Oryctolagus cuniculus: one gene and its partner. The protein of the gene in region 1 interacts with the protein of each later gene in a biochemical or structural test. Links are inferred from orthologs where the notes say so. Each region holds a gene or a part of one and is shown in the gene's direction. Other genes may lie near its edges.

Evidence for each region.
Region 2: of the proteins of MARK3 (region 1) and KSR1, one has a biochemical effect on the other in vitro, tested with the Homo sapiens proteins (2 studies listed by BioGRID). The link is inferred for Oryctolagus cuniculus from reciprocal best matches to the Homo sapiens genes MARK3 and KSR1.

Annotation. Positions count from the first base shown.
Region 1 is NC_091451.1:46,236,791-46,252,430, forward strand, and holds the start of MARK3 (MAP/microtubule affinity-regulating kinase 3), read left to right. Parts: upstream 1-6,597; 5' UTR 6,598-7,129; coding exon 7,130-7,180; intron 7,181-15,640. UniProt on the Homo sapiens protein: Serine/threonine-protein kinase. Involved in the specific phosphorylation of microtubule-associated proteins for MAP2 and MAP4. Phosphorylates the microtubule-associated protein MAPT/TAU. Phosphorylates CDC25C on 'Ser-216'.
Region 2 is NC_091448.1:43,310,462-43,325,374, forward strand, and holds part of KSR1 (kinase suppressor of Ras 1), read left to right. Parts: intron 1-3,431; coding exon 3,432-3,579; intron 3,580-7,282; coding exon 7,283-7,742; intron 7,743-11,575; coding exon 11,576-11,580; intron 11,581-11,681; exon of another isoform or gene 11,682-13,850; coding exon 13,851-13,911; intron 13,912-14,913.

The DNA of each region.
Region 1 (15,640 bases):
TGGAGCCTAGATCTGCCTGGGAGCTCTCTCTCCAGGGGATCGTGAAAGCCCAGCCCTTGGGGCAGCCAGGACAGAGCGCTGGCACTGGGCAGCCAGAAGGCCCACACTTCCTCAGAACAGAAGGCACTGGCGGCCATCGGGCGCCTGCAGGCCGAGCTTCAGCCTCTCCCTTTCTTTTCTTTCTTTCTTTCTTTCTTTTTTTTTTTTTTTTTTTTTTTTGACAGGCAGAGTGGACAGTGAGAGAGAGAGACAGAGAGAAAGGTCTTCCTTTGCCGTTGGTTCACCCTCCAATGGCCGCCGCGGCCAGTGCGCTGCGGCCAGCGCACCGCGCTGATCCAATAGCAGGAGCCAGGAGCCAGGTGCTTTTCCTGGTCTCCCATGGGGTGCAGGGCCCAAGCATCTGGGCCATCCTCCACTGCACTCCCGGGCCACAGCAGAGAGCTGTCCTAGAAGAGGGGCAACCGGGACAGAATCCGGCGCCCTGACCGGGACTAAAACCCGGTGTGCCAGCGCCGCAAGGCGGAGGATTAGCCTAGTGAGCCGCGGCGCCGGCGCCTCTCCCTTTCTTGCTGGCAACACGGAGCCAGGCACAGTTTGTCTCCCAGTCGTGGTCCTCCTGCCCCTAGCATATCCATCGACAGGTCTTCCCGGGCTGCTGGAGAGTTGCCAAGTATACAGCTGGAGTTCAGCACATGTGCTGTGGCCCCAGGCTGTGGAAGTCAAGGGTGTTGGGGTGGTGGCGGGGAGCTCCCTGGGGGTGGTCGGGGAAGGCTCTGCAGGACGAGGGAGCAGCAGGAACCAGGCACTGACGTGAGCAACAGCGGCCCTTCGGGGTAAAGCAGGCAGCTGGAGCGGGGAATTAAAAAGCAACAGGCCAGCCCTGACCCCGCATGCTGAGGAGAGTCTGGAACAGACTTCGTGTTTCCCCCGCCTCCAGGCCTTGGCGCTCCAGCCCGCGTCCTTCCCCTGCCCCAGGCCCTGGGTGCTCGCTGAGTAACACAACACTCGGGACACGCCGCGCTGGGAGACACACAACCCGGCTGTACCGACTTCCACAGCGGGGGCTTCTTTCTCTGCCACAGGCAGGCTCACGGCCAGCACAGGCCCTCAGGAACCCCAGCAGGGACGCCCCCTCCTCCTCTGGTGCTGGGCTGGGAGCTGGAGCGGATCCGCGTGGGATCATGTGGCGACACCGGCTGGCGGGGAAGAAGGCCCGGGGTTGGGGCTTGGAGACTGGGGTCCCCATCCTCGCCCTGCTGCTAACGAGCTGCGTGAATTAGTCACTTTGTCTCCTTACTCTTTTTCATGTTTATTTATCCACTTTCATCTGCTTGAAAGGCAGAGAGAGAGAGAGAAACAGACTCACAGAGAGAGACATCTTCCCTCCTGTAGTTCACTCCCCAAACGGTTGCAACAGCCAGGACCAGATCAGGCCTAAGCCAGGGGCCATGAACTTCATCTGGGTCTCCCACGTGGCTGGCAGGGGCCTAAGCACTTGAGCCACCGTCGGCGCCTCCCAGGACGCATTGGCAGGAGGCTGGATTGCAAGTGGTGGACCAGGAAGCATTGGCAGGAGGCTGGATTGCAAGTGGTGGACCAGGACGCATTGGCAGGAGGCTGGATTGCAAGTGGTGGACCTGCAACTCTAATTAGGCACAGGCAACCGAGCAACAGCTCAACCTGCCCCCTCTTCATCTCGTGATAAAGATGGCGGTGAAGTGTACCTACCATAAAGCTGAACCATCTCAACCACTGTGAAGCACATTCGCGCGCGTCTGCCCCATCTTCACCACCCAGCTCCAGAACTTTCTCCCCCCGGCCCCTGTTAACCGCTATCCCACTGCAGTCTCTGTCTTACAACTCCAGGTAACTCACAGAGCTAGGGCCACACAGTATTTGCACTTCTGTGTCTCATGTAGTTCCCTTGACATAATGTCCTCAAGGCCACCCATGGTCCTTTTAAAGGCTGGACAGTATCCCACTGTATGGGCTTACCACACTTTGCTCCTCCATTCACTCAACGATGGGCACATGGTTTGCTTCCACGTTTCAGCTACTCTAAATAGTGCTGCCATGAATGTTGATGAACAAATATTTCTGTAAGATCCTGCTTTCTTTCTTTTGGGTATCTACCCAGAATTGGAATCATTGGGTCATATGTTTTTTTTTTTTTTTTTTTTGACAGGCAGAGTGGACAGTGAGAGAGAGAGACAGAGAGAAAGGTCTTCCTTTTGCCATTGGTTCACCCTCCAATGGCCGCTGCGGCTGGCGTGCTGCGGCCGGCGCACCGCGCTGATCCGATGGCAGGAGCCAGGTACTTATCCTGGTCTCCCATGGGATATAGGGCCCAAGTACTTGGGCCATCCTCCACTGCACTCCTGGGCCACAGCAGAGAGCTGTCCTGGAAGAGGGGCAACCGGGAAAGAATCCGGAGCCCCGACCGGGACTAGAATCCGGTATGCTGGTGCCGCAAGGCGGAGGATTAGCCTAATGAGCCGCAGCGCCGGCCATGGTAATTCTCATTTTTTCCAAAATCACCACAGCTTTCCACAACAGTTGCACCATTTTACATTTCCACCAACACTGCACAAAAATTATAATTTCTCAGCTGGCGCCGCAGCTCACTTGGCTAATCTCACTCCACCTGTGGTGCCGGCACCCCGGGTTCTAGTCCCAGTTGGGGCACCAGATTCTGTCCTGGTTGCTCCTCTTCCAGTCCAGCTCTCTGCTGTGGCCTGGGAGTGCAGTGGAGGATGGCCCAGGTCCTTGGGCCCTGCACCCACATGGGAGACCAGGAGGAAGCACCTGGCTCCTGGCTTTGGATCAGCGCAGTGCGCCGGCCACAATGCTTCAGCTGTAGCAGCCACTTGTGGGGTGAACCAATGGAAAAAGGAAGACCTTTCTCTCTGTCTCTCTCTCTCACTGTCTAACTCTGCCTGTCAAAAAAAAAATTTCTCCATATTTTTTTTCTGTAAAACAATTTATATATTTATTTATTAAGCCTTTTTTTTGAAAGTCAGAGTTACACAGAGAGAGACAGAGAGGTCGGTCTTCCATCTGCTGGTCTACTCCCCAATTGGCTGGAATGGTCAGAGCAGTGCCGATCTGAAGCCAGGAGCCAGTAGCTCCTTCTGGGTCTCCCACGTAGGTGCAGGGACCCAAGGACTTGGGCCATCTTCTACTGCTTTCCCAGGCAATAGCAGAGAGCTGGAGCAGAAGAGCAGCAGCCGGGCCTCGAACCAGTGTCCATATGAGATGCCAGCACTGCAGGTGGCAGCTTTACCTGCTGTGCCACAGCACTGGCCCCAATGTTTATTTGAAAGGCAGAGAGAGAGAGAGAGAGAGAGAGAGATCTTCTATCTGCTGGTTTACTCTCCAAATGGCTACAATTACCAGGACTGGGCCAGGTCAAAGCCAGGAGCCTGAACCTCAATCCAGGTCTCCTATGTGGGTGGCAGGGCCACAAGCACTTGGGCCACTACTGCTACTTCCTAGTGTCTACACTAGTGGAAGCTGGAATCAGCAGCTGGACCCAGGAATCCAACCCAGGCAAGCGTCTTAACCACTAGGCTGACCTCTCCCTATTTTCTGGGTTTCTGATGGTGGCCATCCCAGGGGCCTTGAGGTGGCCACTGTCATCATCAACATCATTGCCAGCTTCCGATGTGTCTCAGTGGCCTCCTGCTTGCCATGAAGATAACCACAGTGGGCCCTCCCTACCTGTGGGCTTTGCAACCACGGACCCAAATGACCGTTTGTGAAAAATAGTAAATAAATAAACACAATCACGGGGTGGGCGTTTGGCTTAGCAGCGAAGACGCCTGCCAGCTGCATTGCACAGTATCTGGGCTTGATACCGACGCCAGCTCCCTATGGGGGCAGATGCTGGAAGCAGGGATGATGGCTCAAGTACCTGGGCTCCTGCCGCCTGCATGGGAGACCTGGCTCCCAGCTTCAGCTTGGCCCAGTCCTGGCCATTGTAGCATCTGGAGTGCGGCTCTCTCTCTTGCTCTCTCTCTCTCTGCCTCTTGGATAAATAAATTTAAAAACATGTCTTTTCAAAGTTGCGTCTGCACTGGAAGTCCTCAGACTTTCTAGTCACTATTCCCGGAACAACATAGCGTAGCCACTATTTAAATCACATTCACATTGTATAGGTAACTGGGTGATGATTTCACGTACACTGGAGGACGTGTGTGAGTTGTTTGCCAACTTCACACTGTCTTCTTTGAGGGACTTGAGCAGCTAAGGATTCGGGTAAGAGAACTGGTGCCCTGCAGGTGCTGAGGGAAAACTGTGCTGCCAACGCACGCACACAGCTTGGTATATTTAGTTGTATCTTTCACGTTTCAGGAGCTGAAGATGGGAACTGTCTGACTATGAAGACAGGAAACAAAGAACATGAAATGGGATGGAAGAACACATTCCAAAGACAACTTCCAGATCTCGCCCTTCTCTGTGTGTGTGTGTGTGTGTGTGTTTTCCTGACTGCAGATGCACACAGCTGAGGGTCTCCGAGCGTTCTTTGGACAGAACAATGCTTTGCCTCCCTCCCCCACCTCTTTCTGTTCTTCATGTAACACACCCACCTTGCCTCCCACATCAAGACCCTTATGGTGTCATGACGTCATCTGACATCAGTGCCACGAAGAGTTCCAGGTGCTTCTTTAATTCTAGCCTTCAGCAAAACCAACATCATGAGTTGGGTGCTGTCATCTTCGTTTTCTGACTCCGGGCGTTCACTGACTCATTTCTCAGTGAGAAAAGCAACTGGGTGGCACCCTCATCCCCGCCCCCCCTCCCCGGTCAACGGCGAATGCTGTGAATCACCCCACGCTGTCTCTCAGCTCCGGCCCGAGGCTGAACTTCTCGGGGTGTTTTCCTGCCGTCGTTGGGAGCAGACACAGAGCCAGGTGCTGTGCTGAGTCTAGGCCCTGCTCTTCCAGTCTCACCTCTCCAACCTCTGCAGCCCTGGCTGGATCGGCCTTCTGCCTGGACTGTCCTTTGCACCCTCCTTACCTGGCTAACTCTGCCGCTGCTTTTAGGCTCAGCGTAAACGTTCTCTTCTCCTGGAAGCCTTCTCTGACTCAACCCCCAAGTTGGGCTAACAACACTTGTGCTCACCCCAATCTTATCATATAACCCACATTTTGGTTGAACCGTGTCAGGCACACATTTAATTCTTGGGAATTCCACATCTCCCCTTGGCCAAAGAAAGAACGGTGACAACATTCCATATAGGGATACCCTGGACCCCTCTAGCATTGTCCTGGAAGGGTGACATGGGAGCCCTGGCAGTATCCTAGTCCGCAGGTGTTTGTATACTGGGAGCATCTGGCTTCTCTGGGAGTGATTACGGTGTTTAAAGATATATATGTTCTGGGGATGGCACTGTGGCATACCGGGTAAAGCCACTGCCTGCAGTGCCAGCATCCCATATAGGTGCTGGTTCGAGTCCCAGCTGATCCACTTCCCTGCTATGGCCTGGGAAAGCAGCAGCAGACAGTCCAAGTCCTTGGGCCCCTGCACCCGTGTGGGAGACCTGGAGCAAGCTCCTGGCTCCTGGCTTTGGATTAGAGCAGCTCCAGCCGTTGCGGCCATCTGGGGAGTGGACCAGCAGATGGAAGCCTCTCTCTCTGCCTCTCTCTATCTCTTTCTTTCAAAAAAATAAATAAATCTTAAAAAAAAAAAGTATATGTTTCACGGAGCAGAAAATGCTGGCAAGATGGCCTCCCCCACCCCCTCCAAAATCGGAAGAAACAAGCAATCCACACCCACCCTACATTTCGCTTATCTGTTATTACCAGAGTTTTAGGAACAGGGTTCAAATCGAGGCTCCTTTGGTAACCAACCTGTCCCCGGGTGACATGGTGCATCTGCCCTGAGGCTTAAATGAGGTAGCTGGTGCAATGTCCCCCCCCCCCCCAGCCTCTCGAGAACGGTTTATGTGACCCAGCCTGGTCGCAAGGGCACCCAAGGCCCAGGGGAGGCGGCATTTCCAGTGTTCCTGCCGCAGGGGGCTACTGAGCCACACCTGCAGCTGGTCCTGGTTAGAGACCCCCTAGAGGCATTAAGAACTGGTCCCTAGGGGACCGATCCCCTCCCCTGCCTGCCCCCCTAGTCGCACTCCCCCTTCCAGGTGGCATTTGGCTGGGTCCAAGTCAGACCCTCCTGATGGCCAGGCAGGCAGACCCGCAAGCAAGTTGGGTGTGTGCACGCCCGACGCCCGGGTCGCAGCGGCTCGTGCTGGAGCCGCGCGCCCACCTGCAGCCCCGACCCTGCGGATCCACCCACCCCACGTAGCGTTGTCCCCGGGAGGCGAGCTCGGTGTTTGCACACAGTAGGCGCCCGATCTGTAATCCAAGAAAGCCAGATCTGTAGTCCGTAAGCGCCAACGCCGCCGCGCAGGGATGCCCGACTGTGGGAACCCGGCGCCCCCGGAGCCAGCGGAGACCCGGCGCCGCCCACCTCGCGCCCTACCTGTCGGGCCGAGTCGCCCCTAGCAACAGCAGCCCGCCCGGGCCGCTCCCGCCGCTCTGATTGGCCGGCCTCCGGGAGGCGGCGGCGGCGTCACTTCCGGCAGCCGGAGACAGCAGAGGAAGCCGAGTGGCGGCCATCTTGGGTCCGTGAGGCTCTGAGGTGCCGGGAGCGGCGGCGGCGGCGGCCAGCAGGGCGGAGGCTGAGGCGAAAAGCGAGCGGGAGAGAGGAAAGCAGCCGGGCGCAGGCGCCTCCGCCGCAGCCCCCTCCATGGTCGGCGCCCGCAGCCCGCGGCGGCCTGTCTTGCGTTCCACCTTCTCCACATCCTCTTCCGCCTCCTCCTCAGGGGCTGCCGGCGGCGCTGTGTGGAGGCCCCGGAGCTGAAACCCGGGGCGCAACGGGCGCGAGCGGAGGCGGAGGAGGCCAGGCGGCCCGGGCCCGCGGCGTGCGCTGAGGCGCGGGGCCGCCGCCGCCGCCGGGCTCCTCGCCGCGGCCGCCCGGGCAGGGGAGGATGAGCCCCGGGAGCCGCCGGGGCACGGCCCGGGCCAGGCCCGGGATCTAGGCGGCCGCGGGGGGAGGGGCCGCGCGCCGGCTTCCTGGGCTGTGCCGTTTTGTTCTCGCCCGCGCCCTGTGCGAACCCGAGCGCAGTAAAATGTCCACTCGGACTCCGCTGCCCACGGTGAATGAACGAGACACTGAAAACGTGAGTAGCCGGGGCCTGTCGGCGGCGGGCGTGTCCTCCCGGCCGTGCCGGCCCCAGCGAGGTCCGGGCGCTCGCCCGGCCGGGTGGGCTCTCCTCTCCAGTTGGGCGGGCGGCTCTGTCCGCTGGTGCTGATTCAGGGCGCTCGGAGGGGTCACGTGCACCGTCCTTTCTGCGGGCGGAACCGGGCGTTAGTGGCTGACAGTCGCCGGAACTCGGGGTCCCGCCTCGACCCCGGAGAGGTGTGCAGAGCGCGCAGCCTTTGCCCGGCGCGGGCTGCGTCCCCGCGAGGCCGCAGTGGCCGGGGACACCGCTTTCCGCCCCCCGCGGAGGAGGTGCGCTGAGACGAGCGGCCCGCACCTCCTGGAGGAACCTTGGCTTTGCTGCTTGTGCCCCTTTTGTAAAAGGCCGGGGGTGGGGGCCGCGCTGCTGGGCTGCGCCCTGCGCGGGTCTGCCCCTGCGCCGCAACCGCGAGAGCCAGTAACTGGCAAAGCAACTTCGGGGGCCTTTCAGGGTGCGTGTTAGCAGGTGATTGCTGGCCAGAAAATGCCAGCTCTTAGGAGAACTTTTCTTGCTCTGCGTGTTTTCATCCCTTCGGTAACGTCCCGAGACGTTGTGGCCCAGACATATCAAGTGCCTTCACTTTAGTTGTTTGCCGGCCGGCTGGCTGGTATTTTCACCTGTTTACGTAAGCCTCCGTCTCGAGCATCCCTGCGCCCCAGCATTACACACATAGGAGAGCGGTAGGCGTCCGCCACCTGAGATGGGCTAGAGAACTACGTAGAAAGTGAGTGGTAGGAAACCTTAGACTCTGCGAGTCAGTGAGCTCCTTCTCTTATAGTGCTTTTGAAGAAAACCGTTTCTGACCCAGACCTGACCACTTCCCACTCTTTACTACCCTGAAGGAAGGAGCAAGGAACAAAAGTGAGGCGATCAGCTTTGATTATGGATCTTCACTCAGAAGCAAAACCTTACCTTGAACCAGAGCAAGAGCTTCACACTTTGTAAACTGCAGCCAAACAGCAGATTTGTGATAATGAAGGCTTTCAAATAGGTCGTCTTTTAATACATATTTTAATAGGGAAGAAATAGGCCATTTTTACTCATGAATGCATGATTTAGGTGGTGAATATTTGTGATGTTGGTGAATGACTTGGCTCGTTCTTCAGTTGTTATTTGAGTAATTTGTTGAACTATTTTGTAGATTTTTTTTGTGTTAGAAATTACTAACTGTTGGGGCTGGTGCCGTGGCATAGTGGATTAAACCTTCTCCTTGCGGTGCCTGAATCCCATATGGGCACTGGTTTGTGTTCCAGCTGCTCCTCTTCCAGTTCAGCTCTCTGCTGATGGTCTGGGAAAGTTGTGGAAAGATGACCCAAGTGCTTGGGCCCCTGCACCTATGTGGGCGATCTAGGGGAGGCTCCTGTCTTCTGCCCAGCTCCGGTCATTGTGGCCATTTGGGTAGAGAACAAGTGGATAGAGGACCTTTCTCACTCTCCCTCTGTCTGTAACTCTGCCTCTCAAGTAAATAAATAATCTTTAAAAAGAAAATTAATTACTAACTTTTTAAAAAGCTCCTGGGGATGTGGAGGACGTTTCTTCTTCTTTTATTTACAAGTCAGATGTACAGACAGAGGGGGAGCAGAGAGAGATCTTTCCTCCACTGGTTCACTCCCCAAATGGCCCCAGTGGCCAGGCCTGGGCCAGGCTGAAGCCAAGGGCTAGGATCTGGTTCTGCTGTGTGGGTGGCAGGGGTCCAAGTCTTAGCCCATCTTCTGCTGCTCTCCCAGGCACATCAATAGGGAGTTAGAGCCAAAGGGGGTGGCCGGGACTAGAACCAGCACCCATATGGGATCACTGCGCTGCAGATGGCGGCTTAACTAGCTGTGCCACAGTGCCAGTCCCAGGCCTTTTCTTTATTCTCGTGTAATGTACTTAAAATAGAATTTTTAGCATTGTTAAAATCAAAGGTTTATAGCTCATCATTCATTAATCCACCATACTGTCATGTGTTTTGTTTTAATACTTACTTTTTAGAATTTATTCACTAATACATATTTAAGTCAGGGAGACAGGCAGATTTCCCATCTGCTGGTTCAGGGCTACGCTGGGCCAGGCTGAAGCCAGTAGCTAGGAACTCAATCCAAGTCTCCCACATAGGTGTTAAGGACCCAAGTGCTTGAGCCATCACCTGCTGTCTCCCAGGATGCGCATTAGCAGGAAGCTGGAAATGGGAGAGGAGCTGAGATTGGAACCCAGCGACTAGGGTTTGGGATGAGGGCATCTGAACTGGCATGCCAAATGCTGCACTGGAGTCCATTTTTAACTTCCGTGTTGGCATGTTCTGGCGGTGGAGTACCTTTGTGTCAGTGTTCGGCCTCAGATTCTGATTGACCGTATGCCGTGTTATTTACTTAATGTTCTCGTGCTGCTAAGCATTAGACTTCTTGCTCCTCAAGTGATGAGTATACAAGAGTGGGAGCTCTGTGTTGAGAAGCTCTTTTGTTGAAGTCAGGTTTATACTTCTTGTGTGTAGCTTGATGAGTTTGACAAATGTATATTCGTGTAACCACCATCATAATCAAGATCTAGAACATTTGCAACTTCAGAAAGGTCGCTTGTGGCCCTTGGCAGTGGATCTTCTCTCCCTTACCCCAGCTCCAGCAACTACTGATCTGTTTTTCTGCCTCTATAGTTTTTTCCTTTTCTAGAATGTTTGTAAACAGAGTCTCAGAGAATACAATCTTGTGTCTGATTTCATGCACTTAATACTTTTTGGATTTATTTGTGTTTTCTTGTGTATATAGTTCATTCCCTTTTATTGCTAAGTAGTATTTCATTGTTTAGATGTAGCCAACTTTGGTATCCATTCACCAGTTGAGGGACATTTTGGCTATGATTACTAAAACAGCTTTGTTCTTCTGTTATGTCAAAAGACCTTAGATTTTGCTTATTTTAGGAAAATCGTGTTTAAATTTTTAATGTATGTAATTATGACAAGAATGTTGCTTATTAGGTTAAGAATAGTAAAAGGTAGCTTGTACACTATTTTTCACTTGATTTTTCAAATGTTAAGATTCACTGTTAGTGGATAGGTAAAAGTTAGAGATAGGCAAAATTAGAGAGAGACAGAGAGAAAGGTCTTCTTTTTTTCTGTTGGTTCACCCCCAAATGGCTGCTGTGGCTGGTGCGCTATGCCAATCTGAAGCCAGGAGCCAGGTGCTTCCTCCTGGTCTCCCATGTGGGTGCAGGGCCCAAGCACTTGGGCCATCCTCCACTGCCTTCCTGGGCCACAGCAGAGAGCTGGACTGGAAGAGGAGCAACTGGGACAGAATCGGCGCCCCAACCGGGACTAGAACCCGGGGTGCCGGCACCGCAGCTCACTTGGCTAATCCTCTGCCTGCCGCGGCACCACCCATAAGAGTTCGTTTTTATCACATTGCTGGCTGCTCTGCTTCTGATCCATCTCCCTGCTAATGTGCATTTTGGGGCAGCAGATCATGGTCCAAGTACTTGAATCCCTGCCACCCCCTTTTTTTTTTTTTTTTTTTGACAGGCAGAGTTAGACAGTGAGAGAAAGGTCTTCCTATTTCCGTAGGTTCACCCCGCAAGTGGTCACTACAGCTGGCGCATTGCGGCTGGGCGCGTTGCGCCAATCCGAAGCCAGGAGCCAGGTGCTTCCTCCTGGTCTCCCATGCGGGTGCAGGGCCCAAGGTCCTGGGCCATTCTCCGCTGCACTCCTGAGCCACAGCAGAGAGCTGGACTGGAAGAGTAGCAACTGGGACAGAATCCGGCGCCCCAACCAGGACTAGAACCCGGGGTGCTGGTACTGCAGGCGGAGGATTAGCCTAGTGAGCTGCGGCGCCAACCATCCCTGCCACCCATTTGAGAGACCTGTTTGGAGTTCTAGGCTTCAGCCTGTCCTAGCCCTTGCTGTTGCATGTATTGGGGAGTGAACCTACAGATGAAGGTCTCTCTCTCACTCTCTGTTTTCCCTTTCAAATAAATATTTAAAATATTTTTGAAAAGGCTTGTTATGGAAAATTTCAAATAGGTAGAATGGAATTTATTGATGATTTTGTCCTCCAGGGACATTTGACAATGTCTAGAAACATTTTTAGTTGTCACAACTAGAGGAAGTGGGAGTTACTGGTCACTAGTCATGCCGCTCACGTTTTGCAATACATAAGACAACTTCCCCCGTCACTGAGAAGTATCTATTCCCAAATGTCAATAGGGCTGGAATTGGGAAACCTTGGTATGCAGCGAGCCCCCCATTCTCAGCATCTCATTGGTCAGTCTCATTCCCTCAGGAATCAAATTCAATACATCATATCATTTCATCTCAAAAGCTTTTAGAAGAAATGAGCCTCCTTTTAAAGAACATGTAATTAATATCTTTATTACATTTTTCTTTCCTTTTTTTTTTTTGGAGATTTATTTGAGAGGTAGAGTTATAGAGAGAGGCAGAGGCAGAGAGAGAAAAGTTTTCCATCCTCTGGTTCACTCCGCAGGTGGCTTCAACAGCCAGAGCTGAGCCGATCGAAAGTCAGGAGCCAGGAGCTTTTTCTGGGTGTCCCACGTGGTTGCAGGGGCCCAAACACTTGGGGCATCTTCTACTACTTTTTCAGGACATAGCAGAGAGCTGGGTCGGAAGAGTAACAGCCGGGACACTAACTGGCACCCATACGAATTCTGGCGCCGCAGGCGGAGGCTCAGCCCACTATGCCACAGAGCCGGCTCCTATCATGTTTTCTTAATATCAGATACACAGTGTCCAAATTTCCTCAGTTGTCTAAATTTTAATCTGTTTTCAGATTAGATTCCAACTTAAATCTACACATTACAGGTGACTAATGCATAAAATAACATTTTTTTTTTTTTAAAAGAATTTATTTGAAAGGCAGAGTTAGGGGGGGAGAGAGAGAGAGTGAGTGAGTGAGTTAGTCTTTGATTTTCTGGTTCACTCCCCAAATGGCTGCAACAGCTGGGGCTGGTCCAGGCTGAAGTCAGGAGCCTGGAAAGTCCTATGCCATGACATTGGCCCCTAAAATAAAATTCTTTTATAGAGCAACAAGAAACTTTTTTTTTTAATATGTTCTATAGTTGACTTGAATAGAGCCACAAACAAATCCTGTTTCTATTCTGGCAAAATTAGAAACATTGAAAAAAATTATCTGGGGGAAAGAGAGAACTCCTGGGGCTTTACTCCCCAAATTCCCACAAAGGCTGGGCCTGGGCCAGGCCAGAGCTGGAAACCAGGAACCCAATCCAATTCGCTGACTTGAGTCATCAGCACGCACTGGTGGGAAGCTGGAGGTAGGAGCTTAAGGTGGGAATTGAGCTCGGATAGTCTGATATGGGATGCTAGTGTCTTAACTGCTAGGTTGAGTACCTACTTATAGAAATACATTTTTTACGGCCGGCGCCGCGGCTCACTAGGCTAATCCTCCGCCTAGCGGCGCCGGCACACCGGGTTCTAGTCCCGGTCGGGGCGCCGGATTCTGTCCCGGTTGCCCCTCTTCCAGGCCAGCCCTCTGCTGTGGCCAGGGAGTGCAGTGGAGGATGGCCCAGGTGCTTGGGCCCTGCACCCCATGGGAGACCAGGAAAAGCACCTGGCTCCTGGCTCCTGCCATCGGATCAGCGCGGTGCGCCGGCCGCAGCGCGCTGGCCGCGGCGGCCATTGGAGGGTGAACCAACGGCAAAGGAAGACCTTTCTCTCTGTCTCTCTCTCTCACTGTCCACTCTGCCTGTCAAAAAAAAAAAAAAAAAAATACATTTTTTACTTTTAAAGCATACAAGTCTATAATCCTGGGTTTTTGCCAAAGTACTAAAGGCTCTAGGACTGAGTTATTTAACAGCCTCTAGTGTGTGTGTATCATATACTGAGTAGTTAATCCAAATAATCATCAAGTTTTCCTAACTTTGTGAAACAGATAAACTGATGGTATTGTAGCCTAGTCAACTGTTTGTTTAGGTGAGACTGAATTCACCTGTTAAGCAAATTAGAGTGCCTGTTATGAATATGACAGTTTTAGGTGCTCTGGAGGATATAAGAGAGATCTTCAAAAAGTTATTGAAAAATACATTTTATAGAAAGAGTGTGCCTTGTATGTGTGGACGTCAATTGTTTTGCACAAAATAAACATTTTAAAAAAAGATTTATTTAATATTTATTTGAAAGAATTACATAGAAGGAGAGGCAGAGAGGGAGAGAGGTCTTTTCATCCACTGTTTCACTCCCCAATTGGCCACAATGTTCGGAGCTTTTTCTTCTTCTTCTTTTTTTTTTTTTTTTGACAGGCAGAGTGGACAGTGAGAGAGAGAGACAGAGAGAAAGGTCTTCCTTTGCCGTTGGTTCACCCTCCAATGGCCGCTGCAGCTGGCACGCTGCAACCAGCGCACCGTGCCGATCCGATGGCAGGAGCCAGGTACTTCTCCTGGTCTCCCATGGGGTGCAGGGCCCAAGGACCTGGGCCATCTTCCACTGCACTCCCTCCCAGGCCACAGCAGAGAGCTGGCCTGGAAGAGGGGCAACCGGGACAGAATCCGGCGCCCCGACCGGGACTAGAACCTGGTGTGCCGGCGCCGCAAGGTGGAGGATTAGCCTAGTGAGCCGCGGCGCCGGCTCGGAGCTTCTTCTGAGCCTCCCACATGGGTGCAGGGGTCCAAGGACTTGAGCCATCTTCTTCTTCTTCTTCTTCTTTTTTTTGACAGGCAGAGTGCACAGAGACAGAGAGAAAGGTCTTCCTTTGCCATTGGTTCACCCTCCAGTGGCCGCCGTGGCCGGCGCACCACGCTGATCCAAAGCCAGGAGCCAGGTGCTTCTGGTCTCCCATGCGGGTGCAGGGCCCAAGTACTTGGGCCATCCTCCACTGCACTCCCGGGCCACAGCAGAGAGCTAGCCTGGAAGAGGGGCAACCAGGACAGAATCCGGCGCCCTGACCGGGACTAGAACCTGGTGTGCTGGCGTCGCAGGTAGAGGATTAGCCTATTGAGCCGTGGCGCCAGCCGAGCCATCTTCTACTGCTTTCCCAGGCCATAGCAGAGAGCTGGATCAGAAGTGGAGCAGCCGGGACTCGAACCGGGACCCATATAGGTACAGCCTAAGCTGCTGTACCACAGTGCTGGCCCATAAACATATTTTCTAGTTAAATTTTAAAATATTTATTTATTTATTTGAAATTCAGAGTTAGAGAGAAATTGATCTTCCATCTTTCTTCACTTCCCAGATGGCCTTTGGGCCAGGCTGGAGCCAGGAGCTTCATCCAGGTCTCCTGTGTGAGTGGCAGGGGCCTGAACACTGAGCCATCTCTGCTGCTTTTCCCAGGCAATTTTTCAATGAACTTTTTGAATTACTGCATATACCTGAGAACCAGATTGCTTCCTGCTTTTTAGAACTTCTGTAAATGTAGAAAAAGCTCTCTGAGTTCTGTAAAACTTATCTACTTGGGCATCACCCGCTGCCTCCCAGGAGCATTAGCAGGAAGCTGGATTGTAAGCATGGAGTAGTCAAGACTGAACGAGGCACTCTGATTTAGAGTGTGGGTATCCAAAGCAGGGCCTTTACTCACTGTATGACAACACCAGTCCCACCTCAAGTTTGCATTTCTACCAAGTTAACAGATGATGTTGATTATGCAAGTCCAGGCACCACGCTAAAGAATATCACTGCCTTCCTTAGTGTCCAGTGAAGCCTTGAAAACTGAACTATACTCCTTTTTTTTTTTTTTTTTAAAGATTTATTTATTTGAAAGAGTTACAGCTGAAGAGGGAGAGACAGAGCATAGAGAGATCTTCCATCCACTGGTTCACTCCTCAGATGGCAGCAGTGACCAGGGCTGGGCTGATCTGAAGCCAGGAGGCAGGAGCTTTTTCCGGATCTCCCACGTGTGTGCAGAGGCCCAAGCACTTGGGCCGTCTTATGCTGCCTTTCCAGGCATATCAGCAGAGAGCTGTATCAGAAGTGGAGCAGATAGAACTTGAACTGGTACCCATCTGGGATGCTGGTGCTGCAGACAGTGACTTTACTTGCTGCTCCACAGCGCTGGCTCCAAAAGATCTGATAGATTGTAATTTGAGAGTTGTTTTTCTGTATGTAAATTAAATAAAACTTGAAATTTATAGAAAGTACGATATTGGTCATCTTGATGTACATTGTAATTATGAGACAGAATATGATTTATATTGTAATTACTTGGAGGCTTTTATATAGTCTATAAATTAATAGTACCTGTTATGTTTATTTCAAAGAGACTTATTCTTGGATTTTATCATTCTAAGATATAGCTGATTTTTGTCCCTAAAATTTATTCCTAGGTTGGAGATAACAGTCAGAGAATGCAAACCCCCTGATCAACATTGGGAGAACTAAAGCAGAAATTCACCTCTCACATCCATTTCAAAATTTCAAATTAAACCTGAAGAAGAAATAAATCTCTGCAAAGCTTTTTTTTTTTTTTT
Region 2 (14,913 bases), on another chromosome or scaffold:
AGAAAACTGCCCTGGGAAAATGTGTGTGCGTGTCTACCTGTGTGTGCATGTCTACCCACATACATGTGTCTACTGTGGATGTGTCTACCTGTGTGCGCATGTTTATCTGTGTGCATATGTCTTCTGTGTGCACATGTCTATCTGTGTGTGTCTACTTGTGTGTGTGTCTACCTGTGTGCACAAGTCTACCCATATACATGTGTCCACCTTAGACATGTCTACTGTGTATGCATGTTTACCCATGTAAACTGTCTACTGTATGCACATGTTTACCCATGTAAACACGTCTACTGTATGCACATGTCTACCTGTGTGTGCATCTACCTATGTGCACATGTCTACTCACGCACACATGTCTACATTGGGCGTGTCTACCTGTGTACACATGTCTACCATGAGCGTGTCTACCCATGTATGCATGTTTACCCATGTGCGCATGTCTTCTGTGTGCATGTGTCTACCTGTGTGTCTCTGTCTACCTATGTGCACATGTCTATGTGTGTGGGTCCCCCACCCAGAGGGAGATGGAGGGCTGCTTTGTGCAGTGAGAGTTGAAGGTCGCTTTGGTTCTTGCCCTGACTCTTTGACCAAGTTGTCTTTTACATAAAATGGCATCAAAACTGCCTTTTAAAAAAATTATTCATTTATCTGTAAATTGGAGTTACAGAGAGAGAGGGAGAGACAGAGACCCTCTGGCTGCTGGTTCACTCCCCAAATGGCCACAGTGGGCCAGATCAAAGCCAGGAGCTTCACTCAGGTCTCCCATGTGGGAGGCAGGGGCCAAGCACCTGGACCATCTTTGGCTGCTTTCCCAGGCCATTAGCGGGGGGGCAGGATTGGAAGTGGAGCAGCCAGGACACAGTATGGAATGCCAGCATCGCAGGTGATGGCCTCGCTCACCACCCTGCAGCGCTGACCCCACGTGTGTTGTTTGTTTAAGATTTATTTACCCATCTATTTGACAGGCAGAGACAGAGAGAGAGATTTTCCATCTGCTGGTTTACTCCCTAAATGGCCGCAACAGCCGGGGCTGGGCCAGGCCAAACCCAGGAGCCTCATACTCCATCTAGGTCTCCCTTGGGAGTGCAGGGGCCCAAGCATCTGGGCCATCTTCTTGCTGCTTTCCCAGGAACATTAGGAGAGAGCTGGATCAGAAGCAGAGCAGCCAGGATTCGAACCAGCGCTCATACGGGATGCCAGCGTTGCAGGCGGCAGCTTAACCCACAGCGCCACGACCCTGGTCCCAGAAACTGGCTTTCTATGAAGAAGAGTTGCTGAGGCCATAAAGGAGTGGCGGGGTGGGGGGTGTCCCTTCTGTAGCCAGCCGCCGTCTGGGCTGTGCCCCTCACAGCAGCCTCCCTGTCCTCGCTTTGTCATCCAGAAGGATCTCTGACAGCCGAGGCTGTGTGCAGGCAGCGTACTTCCTGGTACTTTCACGTGTCTGGTTCTTATACTGGTGCGGATCATTCTAGACACTGGTGAGATTCCTGCCCGAGCCGGGACATCGAAGGCCGCAGTCACAGGATGCAGACAGCCACCGGGGGCCCTGTTGGTGGGAAGAGGGGGTGTGGCCGCCCCCACACCATTGCCCTCCTAGCTCGGGTGCAGGTTTACAGCCTTGTGAATGGACTGACAGTGAGTTACCGTTTCCAAGTCAAATGACACCAGACTTAACCAAAATTCACCCAAAATTGCTTTTGAGTCTCAAGAACCATGCACGTGCTAGGGGTTATTTCATCCAGCCTTTGCTTCCTGGAGAATCCAGGAAATGTGCGTAGAAAAAGGGGAAAAGAAGACCTGATGCCCCAGGTCTTTGAGCCCAGGTCAGGACGCATTGCAAGGACTCCTTTTGGTGTCACCCCAGCCCCGGCTGCAAGGCTCCTGAGGCCAGAGCCGTGTCCTGCTGTCCTCTGTGTCTGTGTCAGGCTTGGCGCACCCTCCAGACGTGAGGGGAGAGCACCCAAGTCAGCCGGGCCTTGAGCCAAACATTTGTTCTTGGGATTGTTTTTCTGGTGCTGCATGACAAGCGTGGTGGCCCGTGACACTGCACACGCATGCCACAGCTCACCGTGCACAGCTGCAGCCCCCGGGGAGGCTCCAGGCTGGCTCCTCCAGCTTTCCCGCCCTGCCTCTCATGAGGCCACTTCCATGTTCACCCAGGTTGTGGATGGGACGCGGTCTGGATAGCTGGGGGGAGAAGGGAAAGGGTGGCGGAGTTGGCTAAGCCGGGAGATACACAGATCTTCTGCGGGCGTGAGCCCATCACATCTCATCACTACCAGCCCACTGCAAACCACTCAGCCACTTATGTACTCTGTGGGCTGGGGGCTGGAGGGGGCATGGGGGTCAGCAGTTGTAGGGGGGCTGTGAACAGTGACTGGGGGCAAGCAGTGGCCCCAGAGGTAGCAGTTAGCTTGAGGCAAGGTTCCCTTGGGAGTTTGAATGAGCCCAGGGAGCTGACGCTGTGACGCTGTGACGAGCCTGCCGGTCTTGGCCTGGTTTCTGTCCTCTCTCCTGAGACAGACAACGAGATCACCCGGGGTGGGGGGGGGAGTGGCCAGGTCCCTCCGTGCCCAGAGAGACTTCTTCCTGCACTTGGGAGGAGAGCGGTGAGGCGAGGTTACAGGGACCTTGACTCTGAACCGGCTTTGGGGAACTTTTAATTTCCTTTGGATCAAATGTGCCCCCCAATGCCACCTTTCGGGGAGGTGTCGTCCTCTGAGCCCCAACACAGCTGTCGGTCTGGGGTCCCCGCTTCCTCGCCGCCTGTCAGCTGAGGCCATGGACGTGCCTCCTCCTGTGGCCCTTGCGGTGTCTTCAAAGCTGGCATGGCATCGCTCGCACGCTTTCCCTCCACCCCAGAGGAGACCCTCTGCTTTTACAGGCTCGTGTGGTTGGGTTAATCCTACCTGGGCACCTGAAAGTTCTGGCCCCTGCGTGACCTTGTACAGGTGCCATGGCCTCTTTGAGCCTCCTCCGTGGAGGCTCACCTGAGAGCAGTGCCGGTGGGGGGGGGGGGTTGCTTATTCTGTTTCTGTCCTCCCCTTGTTGGCATCTCCTGACACAGATACAACAGAGTTCCCAAGGGCCATCTCTGTGGGAAGTGCTTGTCATTCGACAAAGTCCCCATGACCCGCCTTTTTCAGTGTGGAGAAATAAAAAGAGGAGAGGCAGGGCGCCCTGTTGAAACCCTCCTGGCTTCCCCCTGCCCCTTCGGCTCACGTCAGCTGCTGTCCTGGGCCTGCGGAGGGTGGGGGCGGCAGCTCTCTGCCTGTGTCCTTAGACAAGCAGAGCCGGCCCGGCCAGCAGCTGGCCCCTGCCACTCAGCCAAGAGGCTGCCCTGGCCCAGGCCAGGCGAAGGCTGAGGCCACCGCCCAGGCCTGCCTGCCTGCCTGCTCACCGGCCTCTCCTGTCCCTTCTGTGCCACACAGGAGATCCCCCACGAACTCACGCTGGACGCCCTGCTGGAGATGAACGAGGCCAAGGTGAAGGAGACGCTGCGGCGCTGTGGAGCCAGCCCCGAGGAGTGCGGCCGCCTGCAGCACGCCCTCGCCTGCCTGCGGAAGGTCACGGGCCTGGGTAAGTGGGGCCTGCTGGCCTCCTGTCCCCTGCCTCCACGGGGTGGGGGGATGAAGGGGACATCTCTCTCCAGGGCCAGCCTGCTCCCCTGGGGGCTCGGGCCCCTGCCTAGGTGGGGGTTGGGATGGGGCAACCACAGCCCCAGGTTTCTGGGGTAGCTGGGAAAGGCCAGGGTGAACCTTCAGAATGTGTTTGATGACCCAAAAGGGAGGCCCCCCAGGGTCCTGGGGCTCTGGATCGCAGTGGGTCTGGCCGGTCTGGACCTGGGAAGACTTGAGCCATTGTTAGAAATCGGCAGACTGGGAGGGCCCTGTGTGACTTCCCTCCGGGGAGTGCATCTGTGCGGGGTTTTGTGCACACTCCGCCAGCTTCCTGCATTCCAGCCCCCGGCCCTTGTCGGCCGGCTGCACTCTGTGCTCAGAGACACCGTGGATGTGGGCTTAGCCTGAGCCGAGATGCTTAGAGTGCGTGCACAGCAAGGCATGGAATCCTGGCTGCAGGACGAGGAGCTGGGGAATTCTTTGCAGGCTTTCTAGATCTTGCCTTGGAAACAGCTTCGCATGCCTGCCCGATGCTCCCACTGCAGGCCCCGGGCAGATACGCATTGAAATGAGCCTCGTGAATTGAATTAGCCTGTTTTTAATTATCTGAGCCTCTTGTCTGAGCCCCGGCTGCCTGGGGCTTCAGGAAAGCACCGAGGTGTATGTGCTGCTTAGTTCCTGCCGTCCAGGAAGATGAGGCTTAGCTTCCTCCCGAGTCATCTGAACCCAGAACTCAGTGCAGGTTCAGAGAATCGTGACCCGCCGGGCCTCCCTGCAGATGCTGGGTGTAACATGGCAGAGGTATGGTGCTGGGTGTAACATGGCAGAGGTGTGGTCAGAATCCTCGTCTCCACCCATACAGAGGAAGCCCTGGGGAGGGGCTTGGGACACACGGCGGTCAGTAGCAGAGCCAGGGTTTGTGCTTCGGGCTCCGCTGGCAGCAGAGGGCAGGAGGATTTGTCACTGGAGCTGAGGCCCCTAGGGTCGCCTCTCAGACCCCACCCCCATCCCCCTTATGCAGGGGTTTTCAAGGAGCCAGCTGTCGTGTGGTACTGACCTGCCGGTGTCATGAAGGCCGCCGTCTGCCTCCCACGGATGCCGAGATGGGGAGGGGGCACTTAGTTGGGAAACACCTGCCGTGTGCCTGGCACATGACACGCTGGAGCCACACCCTTCACAGAGGAGGCATGAAGCAGCAGAGCAAGGGGCGCACTGGCGGAGGGGTCTGGGCTCCCACATCCGGCGCAGGGCAGAGCTGGGCTCTGAACTCAGGTTGCCTCCTCAGAGGGCCTGGGGAGAGGGGCCTTTCCCAGGTCCCGCCTCATTCAGTGCCAGCTCCTGGGGCCCCTGCCTCCCCAAGAGAGTCCTGGCCATATCCCAGGCCAGGGTGCAGGCCTTTCGACTGCCCTAGCCATGGCCATTCTTCCTGGACACCTGCTAGGGACTGGGTGGGTACCGGCAATGCCTATCTTTAGGGTCCACTGTTGGTGCATCTTCACGGCACCTAGACAGGGTGCAGTGATGGCAGCCTGAGCTCCGTGAAGGCGGGCCGTGGCAGCAGACTGCCGAGGCCACTCGGAACCCGTGGGGCCTCGGCCAGTTACTTAACCTCTCTGTGGACTTCTCCCATGAGGTTGCTGTGAAGATGCACAGGGTTGAAGCGAAGTGTTTAGACCAGAGCATGCCATAGCTTAGGTGCCCTTTCCCACATTAGGCCTGTGGGGTGATGGATTATGTTGGTGCCATTTGCACTATGGTCTCTGGTCCTAGAGGGTGAGTGAGCGATGGTTCTTTGTGCTGGTGCATAGGGACGACCATTCCCGCTGATACTCCCTATCCTTCACCCACAGCAGACATCACTAATCAATCCGTGAATGCTTATACTGAGTGACTCCAGCGTGGCTACTGCCAACTGACTGGCACTGGCCTGTGCACCAAGACCTGTTTGCCATCCCTGAGCTGGCCCAGAGCAACAGTGATTAAATAGGCTGTTTGAAGAATGTGGGGCTTCTTTCCCTGGGTGGCAGACTTGCTCAGAGATTCATGGAATCTGTTCTTCATCCACTTAGCAAGAAACCTGTGTTCAGTGCCTCCCCCAGGCCAGTAGAGAAGCTCAAGTGTAAATCAGAGGCAGGACGACCCGTCCTGCCTCCCTGTGCCATGAACCTGGGGGAAAGTACAAACCAAGCTCATGACTTGGGGAGGCTGTGGAGGCGGGGCTTCATCACCTCTGACCTCTGACCCAGAGCTGACCCAGTGTGGGTTCCTCAGAACGCATGGCATCATGGGAGGAGGCATAGCGCTGTGGTCAGGGCTGAGGGGTTCACCTCCCATCCCACTGTTGCCTTTGCTGACCGACCTTGGTGGTGTGGGTGACCTCCCCTGTCACGGGGGCTGTGGGAGGCAGGGCTTCTGCAGGACGTGGTAAAGGCCTCCAGGGCAGAGGTCACTTTGGGTCAGCCTTGACCTTCCTCGCTCTACGTGTGGATAATTCTGAGAGAGGGAGTGGGTGTCTTCTCCTTCCTGCTGTCGCAGCTCGCCCATTAGTACCGCCCGCCCCCACCGCCGTGGCCCCGCCAAGGCAACCGCAGGCAGGACTTGGACTTCAGCACGTCTACCGCAGGCTGGCTATTAAGTTTATGGTTCTATATGGCCCGTGAATGCCGATGTAAATACCCAGACAGCCTGTGGCTGAGTAAAGGTTGCCCTCCCCTGACCTACAGGAACAAACCCGGAGTCCTTAGCAGACAGACCAGCCTCCCTGAGCTGGCCGTGCCGCCCTGAGCCCTCCAGCCTTGTCCCCGCCTTGCCCTGACCTCGCAAAGCACACGGAACACTCTGTAGTGATGGAAGGTGCCGCGTGCTGTTCCCTGTGCGTACGCTGCTCCCTCTGCCCGGGACACCCTTCCCCCTCCCCACCCCCAGCTGCCTCAGCCCTGACCCCAGCCTCCCCAGGCCACTGTCTCAGCAGACGCGTCTCCCTGTCCCAGTGCTCCACACACTGAGAGCTCCCATGGGCCTCTGTGGGCACAGCAGACAGGTCTGTCTGCCTTGTGCATTTGCACCCAGCACCCAGCCTGCACACGGAGCAGTGGACGGATTGCACCGTCGACACAGAGCCCCACGGAACCTCGGGTTCTCCTGGGGCTCAGCTCCCAGTGGGGGCAACCAGAAGCCCCTCACGGGCACCTCTCAGAAGAAAATGGCTTTGCAGCCTCTCTGGCTGGATCTTTGTTCCGCAGCCCAGGGCAGCCCTCTTTCCTGCTGTTTGGATTTTCTTGCCCCAGGCTTTTCCCTTCACACACCCAACTTCCCTTTCCTAACCCGTAAAGGGGTCATCAGCTTTCGGGTGGGCTTCCCAGCCTGCACCCCCAGTCCTGCCCGCAGGAGCCCAGCACAAGCCATTCCCTCCCTGGGCCTCCTTCCCCGCTCTGTGAAGCCCATTTCAGAGTAGCACCCGCCCTGGGGGCCTCACCGTCAGCAAGAGTGTGAATGCTGCATGTGCGCGAGAGATGCTCTTACAAACCGGGGACAGGCTGGTGTCTGAAGCTTTCCACAGATGCTCTGTGCAACCTTGGACAAGGCAGTTAACCTCTCTGGACCCTAAGTCCCTTCACCTGTTCCAGCCCCAACCATCTGCGACTCAGCTTCTTGACCCACAGGAGGAGAGCACAAAGAGGACTCGGGCTGGAGTTCAGTGGATGCTCGGCGGGAAAGTGGCTCTGGGCCTTCCACGGATACCCTCCCTCCAGCCAGCCTGCCCTGGACACCAGGCAGCTCCCAGCTGGGCAGAGGGGGCAGCAGCACCCAGGGCCCACGCTCCGTCTCCGTGTCAGCCCTGCCCGCCTCGGACTCCGCAGCCCCTGGCCTGAGCGAGGGCCTCTCGGACACCTGCCTCCCGCTGCACGCCAGCGGCCGGCTCACCCCCCGCGCCCTGCACAGCTTCATCACGCCACCCGCCACGCCCCAGCTGCGCCGGCATGCCAAGCTGAAGCCGCCACGGACGCCCCCGCCACCCAGCCGCAAGGTCTTCCAGCTGCTGCCCAGCTTCCCCACGCTCACCCGGAGCAAGTCCCACGAGTCGCAGCTCGGGAACCGCATCGACGACGTCACCCCCATGCGGTGAGTGCTCCCGCCGCAGCCACCACGAGGTTTTATAAAATTTATGCAATGGGCCAGCGCCGCGGCTCAATAGGCTAATCCTCCGCCTGCAGCGCCAGCACCCTGGGTTCTAGTCCAGTTCTAGTCCAGTCTAGTCTCCTCTTCCAGTCCAGCTCTCTGCTGTGGCCCGGGAAGGCAGTGGAGGATGGCCCAAGAGCTTGGGCCCTGCACCCGCGTGGGAGACCAGGAGAAGCACCTGGCTCCTGGCTTCGGATCAGCGCAGTGCGCTGGCCACAGTGGCCTTTGTGGGGTGAACCAACAGAAAAGGAAGACCTTTCTCTCTGTCTCTCTCACTGTCCACTCTGCCTGTCAAAAAATAAATAAATAAAAAGATTTATGCTATGTATTTGAAGGGCACAGTTACAGAGAGAGAGAGAGTGTTCCATCTGCTAGTTCACTCCCCAGATGACCACAACACCCAGGGATGAGCCAGGAACTCCATCCAGGTCCCCACTTGGGTGGCAGGGACCCAGGTGCTTGGTCCATCTACCTACCTTCCCAGGTGCATTAGCTGGGAGCTGAATAGGAAGTGGAGCAGCCAGGACTGGAATGCTGGCATCCAGTTCCACTGGATGCTGGCATCGCAGGCAGCGGCTTAACCCACTGTGCCACAGTGCTGGCCCCGCACCAGGAGTTTTGCCTGCCATTCTCATCATGAAAGTGTGTACAATGCCGGTGCCACAGCTCAATAGGCTAATCCTCCACCTGTGGCACCAGCACACCGGGTTCTAGTCCCAGTCCGGGCGCCGGATTCTGTCCCGGTTGCTCCTTTTCCAGTCCAGCTCTGTGCTGTGGCCCGGGAGTGCAGTGGAGGATGGCCCAAGTGCTTGGGCCCCGCACCCCATGGGAGACCAGGAGAAGCACCTGGCTCCTGGCTTCAGATCAGCGTGGTATGCCAGCCGCAGCGCGCTGGCTACAGCGGCCATTGTGGGGTGAACCAATGGAAAAGGAAGACCTTTCTGTCTCTCTCTCACTGTCCACTCTGCCTGTCAAAAAAAAAAAAAAAAAAAGAAAGTGTGCACAAAAGACAAGGAAGTCAGCCATACAGAACTGTGCAGTGTGGGAGCCACAGGCACTCCCCATTCACACTAGGCCCTGACGGCCTTAGCTGGCTGAGCTGAATCCTGCTGGTTCCTGTCTGCACACACACAAAGGGTAGGCTGGGTGAGGCCACGTGAATGAGCGCACCCACAGCTCTGGGGCTTAGAACAAGGAAGACTTGTTTCTCACTGTCCAGGTGGGTCAGACTCTCTCAGGTCCCAGGCTGGCCAAAGAGCCACTTTCTGGCATGTGCTTGGCCCCTGTGGCGGAGGGAATGGGGCATTCAGGTCCTGGACACTGTTGGTTGAATGCCAGCTCCACACCTGCTGTCAACTCACCAGGATTGAAAAGTTCAGGGAAAAACTGTCGCATCGCTGCCAATGTCCTGTGTCACTGCCAATGTCACGCGTGGCCTCTGTAGTCAGGCTCGTGATGCACTGACATGATGACGGGTTTGTGTCGTTATTCCGAGCAGTAGTGCGTAACAGCTGTTTACACGGCCTTTGCATTGCGTTAGCGCTATCCGGAAACCCGGGATGATTCCAAGTGTGCGGAAGCGGTGTGCACAGGTTCTCAGCGAACACTGCGCCTGAGGCACTGGAGCCTCTGCCGGGGGCCCGGGCCCCGCCCCCACAGACTCTGCGGGACAGCTGTCCTCCTTCCACTCCCTGGTCGGGGCCCCACCCAAGGCAGGGAATTGGCAAGGGCCGTCCTCCTGTGCACCCAGAGGGGGAGAGCTGGCATATTTGGCTGAAACCACAAATGACTGTCACGTATGGTGCACGCTGTCCTGTGACTTGTGCTCACCTTGACGTGTGTGACAGCATCACACCAGGCAGCTCCCAGCTCAGTACATCTTTCTTTCTTTTTTTTTTTTTTTTTTTTTTTTAAGATGTATTTATTTATTTGAAAGGCAGAGTTACCCAGAGAGAGAGGAGGGACAGAGAGAGGTCTTCCATCTGCTGGTTCATTCCCCAAATGGCTGCCAAGGGCTCAATCTGAAGCCAGGAGCTTCTTCTGGGCCTCCCACGTGGGTGCAGGGGCCCAATCACCTGGGCTATCTTACGCTGCTTTCCCAGGCCATAGCAGAGCAGCTGGGACTCGAGCCAGTGCCCATATGGGATGCTGGCACTGCAAGTGGTGACTTAACCCTTATTTTTAAAATTTTAATTATTCTTATTTATTTGAGAAGCAGAGAGAGGGAGGAGAGGGAGAGTTCACATCTGCTGATTCACTCCCTAAATGCCCACGACCGCTGGGGTGGGCCTAGGCCAGAACCAGAAGCCTGAAATGCAACCCAGGTCTTCCATGTGAGTGGCAGGAACCCAGTCACTTGAGCCATCACTACTGCCTCGTGGGATCTGCATTAGCAGGAAGCTGGAGTTGGGAGCCAGGGCTGGGAGTTGAACTCAGACACGCCAAGTGAGACTTGAAAGGCAGAATCACAGAGGGAGAGAGACACTCAGAGAGGTCTTCCATCTGCTAGTTCACTCCCCAAAAAGCCACTATGGCCAGTGCCAGGCTGATCTGAAAACAGGAGCCAGGAGCTTCTTCCAGGTCTCCCACATGGGTACAGGGCTCCAAGCACTTGGGCCACCCTCTTCTGCTTTCCCAGGCACATTAACAGGGAGCTGGATCAGAAGTGGAGCAGCCAGGGCTCCAACTGGCACCCATATGGGACTCTGGCACCACAGGTAGCAGCTTTACCCGCTGCACCACAGTGCCGGCCCCGTGATGGACGTTTAAGCCACTGTTGTTTTTACAAAGATCACCTCTGTCGGTTTACCGTTTGGGAGCACGTGAAAGGACAGTGTTTCCTTTGGGTGTTCTTCCCTGTGGGTACCCCTGAGGGTTGGGGTACTTGACACAAGCACCCCTTTTTCTGGGGGCTCCCAAGGTCAGGTCTGCCTTGGGTGGCAGGGGCTTATTTCCTCTGTCCTGGTGCGGGCTCTTGGGCGCACTCCAGGAGAGACTTGGGCAGCTGTGATGAGCTTGCTACCCAGGGATACCCACCCTGCTACTCCCGGTCCAGCCGGAAGGGGCTGTGGACCACAGTCTGGGCTGGTCAGAGACGCCTCGTGGGCCACCCCATGCCTTTGTATCTTCTTCTCCTGAGAAGAGCACAGGCAGCCTTACTCCCACCTTCCAGGCAGAGAACAGGCCCGTGGGCAGGTGACACCAGACAGGGACACGCAGGCCACCTTGCTGCCCTGGCTGATCCCCCAGGGCCCCAGGGGACTGTGCAGCCCCAGGCGGGATGTCGCTGAGGGCATGTCCCTGCCTGACCCTCCCCGTGGGGCCACCCTTGTACTCCGCACAGCTGTTCTCTCTGCCCTCCTGGCCCAGCTGTGTCCTCTCCAGCAGACGGCCCCCTCCTCCTGTCTGGATCCTGGGTTCGCCCCACCAGTGGGTCCCACGCCCGTTTCCTCAGCTGTGAAATGGGGTAAACTCGCAACCATGCTGGCTGGCTGGGCTTGCGTAAGCTAGTGCATTAAAGTGCACAGCACAGGGTATGATGTCCATGTCCCCTGGGAAAGCTCAGCCAGGGCCCTTGTGGCTCTCTGCGTGGAGACAGTGTCCCTCCCCACAGGGCGGGCGGAGGTTCCCACAGTCGCTTGGCAGCCTGGCCCCAAGCCAGGCCTCAGAGTCCCACATCCCAGCCCCTTGCCTGTTGTCTCCCAGGAAGAATGTTCTAGAACACGCTGACGCAGCACGCCAACATAATCCCTCTCTCTCCTTTTTGTCTCCTCCAGGTTTGGTAAGAGAGATTTCATTTTGGTCCCCTCTGTCGCCGGGAGTGGCGTTCGTGTCGCCGTCCCCGTCGGGAGTGAATTCTTCTGACCCTCTCCTAGCCCACTGGGCCTCTGCATGCATGGCCCAGGAGCAGAGGTGCTGGTGACAGCCGCCCAGGGAGAGAGGCAGCCGTCCACCTCCCCACGAGCGGCTCCTCTCTGGGCAGCAGAGACCTGGACAGTACCCTGATCTGGGGGCAAGCCTGTGCCAAGCCCGTTTCCACCTGGACCCCTGTGGCAGGTGCTCTGCCCACTGGGCTGCCGCGGTGAAGAGAGGTCACCACCATCTGCCAGCATAGGTGGGCCACAGCCAGCTCGGACCCCAGCCCGTGTCTCCAGACCCCTTATTTAGGACAAGGACCTTCTCAGGGGCAGCTCTGCAGGAGGCCTTAAGAGCCCAGAGGGTGCCGCTCCCCCTTAGGGCAGGAGGAGGAAGCTCTAGCAGCCCTCCCCAAGTTCTTACATACGGCTATGCGGTGCAGCCTTTCCCCCAGGAGCCAAAGCAGAGCGAAGCTGTTGTGCCTGTGGACTCGCTTCCAGTTGTCCAAGCGGAAGTCCAGAAGTGTCTGTCTGCTGCCTGGGCAAGACGCCGTTTCTTGGCTGAGTGGGGGTGTATCTGGGGTGGGCTCTTGGCAATGGCGGAGGCAGCAGCTGTGCTTTGGCATGGTGGAGCCGGTACGGGGGTAAGGAAGGGAGACATCCGTGGTTCCCAGGGCTCTTGACAGAGCCTTGGAGGAAAATCTAGCAGCTCTGTCCCTTGCACAGCCGAGGATCTGTCATCTTCCAGACCCTGTGGTGACCCAGGAATGGGGACAGTGCAGCTGTTGACCCTTAGGGCCAATATTTCCATCTAGCTCAGAGAGAGTGGATGCCCCGGCTCGTGTGCCACCCCACTCTCCTGTCCTGTGCCAGGGGCAGATGTTACAAGTCGCAGCCTGCATGCAGAGCTGCATGGCTGGAGCCTCGTCTTCTCTGTGGCTGCCAGATAACCTGTGTGTTTTGCTGGCTGTGGCTCCTGCAGGGTAGGCTAGGCCCCGGGCAGGAGCTGGGACGTACCCCAGATGTACCAGAGCTGCCGATCAGCAGCAGGGCAGCGCTGGGCCTTTTGTCATCAGAATGCCCTTGGTGTGGGAGGTGCCAGTGCCTCCGGCATGGGCTTCTCTGGTGGATGGGTCTGTGTTCTTGGCTTTCAGAGAACCAGCACTTTCTGAGTGAGCACCAGCTGTGTGCAGGGCCAGCAGTTGGCCAACGAGGGGCAGTGGCTGCCTATCAGGGGCTGCTGACTCAGAGGGCGTGAGCTGGCCACAGATGGCCGGGGCACTGTCCTCCTGCGTGTTCTGGGTCCTTTGATCACTGCATGAAGGTCTTAATTGGCAGGGAAAAGCCCACAGCATCCTGCTGACTGGTCCAGGGGGTTTACAGACCCCTGGCGCCCAGCCAGGGGCTCCAGAAGGAGACAGGGCCACGTGAGTTGAGCATGCAGGCCACCAGCGGGCAGAGAGATTGGTTCTTGCTGCTCCTGCATCTCCCAGACCTGCTATGTGGAAAACAGGGTGCCTCTCCTCATGGGGAATCTGGAAGCAGAACAAGCGCCCAGGCCGCCCTCAGGGAGGCAGGCAGAAGGGAAGCTGGTAGCCCTTCTCTCAGCAGAGGAAGGGGTGCCCCAGGTAGCCCCAGAGACAGCCACAGGCAGGGCTGACCCGGGGGGAGTGTGGGACAGCTGCACCTGCGCTCGCTCCACCCACGGGATCTGGCACTGGTGGCTCTGAGGAGCGTCCTGCAGGCTGCACGGGGCCGCGCTGAGCTGCAGAGCTCGCTGGCCTTGTACCTGTCCCCAGAGGCCGACAACTCCGACCCGCTCAACAGGAAGTAACCTGAGCAAAGCCCTTGCAGACCTGTGGCCTGTGGCCTCGTCCATGAGGGAGTGCGAGAGACTGGGACGTGGAGGGCTTTGGCCTTCACCTTGGCTGTGCCTGGCCCCTTCTTGAGCTTGCCTGCCTGCACCTGAGCTGGAAACCGCCCAGGCTCAGCAGACTGGGCCAACCGCAGAGGCTGGGCAGTAACGGGCCTCAGAGAAGCGAGGCAAGAACAGGGCCACTGTGCTTGCTCTGACCCTGTTTTGATAGACATGGGTTCCAGGATGTCTCTCCCCTATGTGTTAAACCCTGTGCCCCCACCCAGCCTGCAACCAGGCGGGGGTCCCCCTGACTGCCGGGCTTGGCCCCTTTCCCTGCAGATCTCCCACACGGATCCCCACAGATGGTACGAAGGGACATCGGACTCTCTGTGACGCACAGGTAGGCCGAGCCGCCTGGGTCAGGAGGGGGTGCAGAGCAGGGCTGGGGAATCCGCCCTGGCTACTGTCTCTTGGGGCTCCCTGCCCGTCTGTGTGTGACACAGTCCTGCACCCACGTAGAGCCCTTGCCTCGTCACCCGCGGCCCCGTGGTCTTGCTGGGGCCTCTCCAGCCCCTGCCTGCATCCCTTCCTCACCCCACCAATAGGGTCACGGTCACAGGGAGGAGGAGCCAGGAGCTGCTCTGTGTCCAGTGTGACGCTGGCCACGTGCCAGAGCCCCTTGTGGAGCTTGTTGGAGATGCACCTCCCTGAGCTCCTCGCCTGGTGATCGGGATTTCCAACGACTTCCTGACTCCGCCGCTCAGACCCGCTGGGGAGGGCTGACGGGGTTGGTGATGGGGACTGTCCCGCGGTCTTGGCCTCGACGCTCGCGAGGCTGATATTGGATGGCAGCCGTGGGCTGGAGGGCATCTCTCTCTGCCTCGGGCTTGGGAAGCCCATGCTCCAGCTGCCCCTGTTCGGGGCTGATGTAAGGGCCCCCGGGGACTCGTACAGGCCTCCCCTGCCCCCAGGGTGCGTGAGCTGCCGTCTGCTGTGAGCCAGGCTGGCCTGGGCTCCCCAGCAGTGAGAAGCATGTCTGAGCTCACACCTGGGGGCAGCACTGACGCCCAGGAGGTACCCAAGGTTTGTGTTTGAAGCCCTGTCAGGGCCGGGGCACCTGTATTCTGAGTCAGGGCTCTCAGGGACAGCTGGGAGAAAGCAACAGTCAGCCACCCCTGGGGTGTCAGCCGTGGTCCTCCAGGGGCCACTAAAGGGATTTTTGCAGTCAGGAACTCCACCTATCCCCCTGTGAGCTGTAGACAGCAGCTGCTCTGAGCCTCAGTTTCCCCATATGCAAATGGGGTGGTGGCATCTTCCTCCCAGTCCCATCATAAGGGTACATGCCCTGAGCCTCACGGGCCGGCCACAGGATTAACTTGGGGCTCCCGAGGGAAACCAAGCT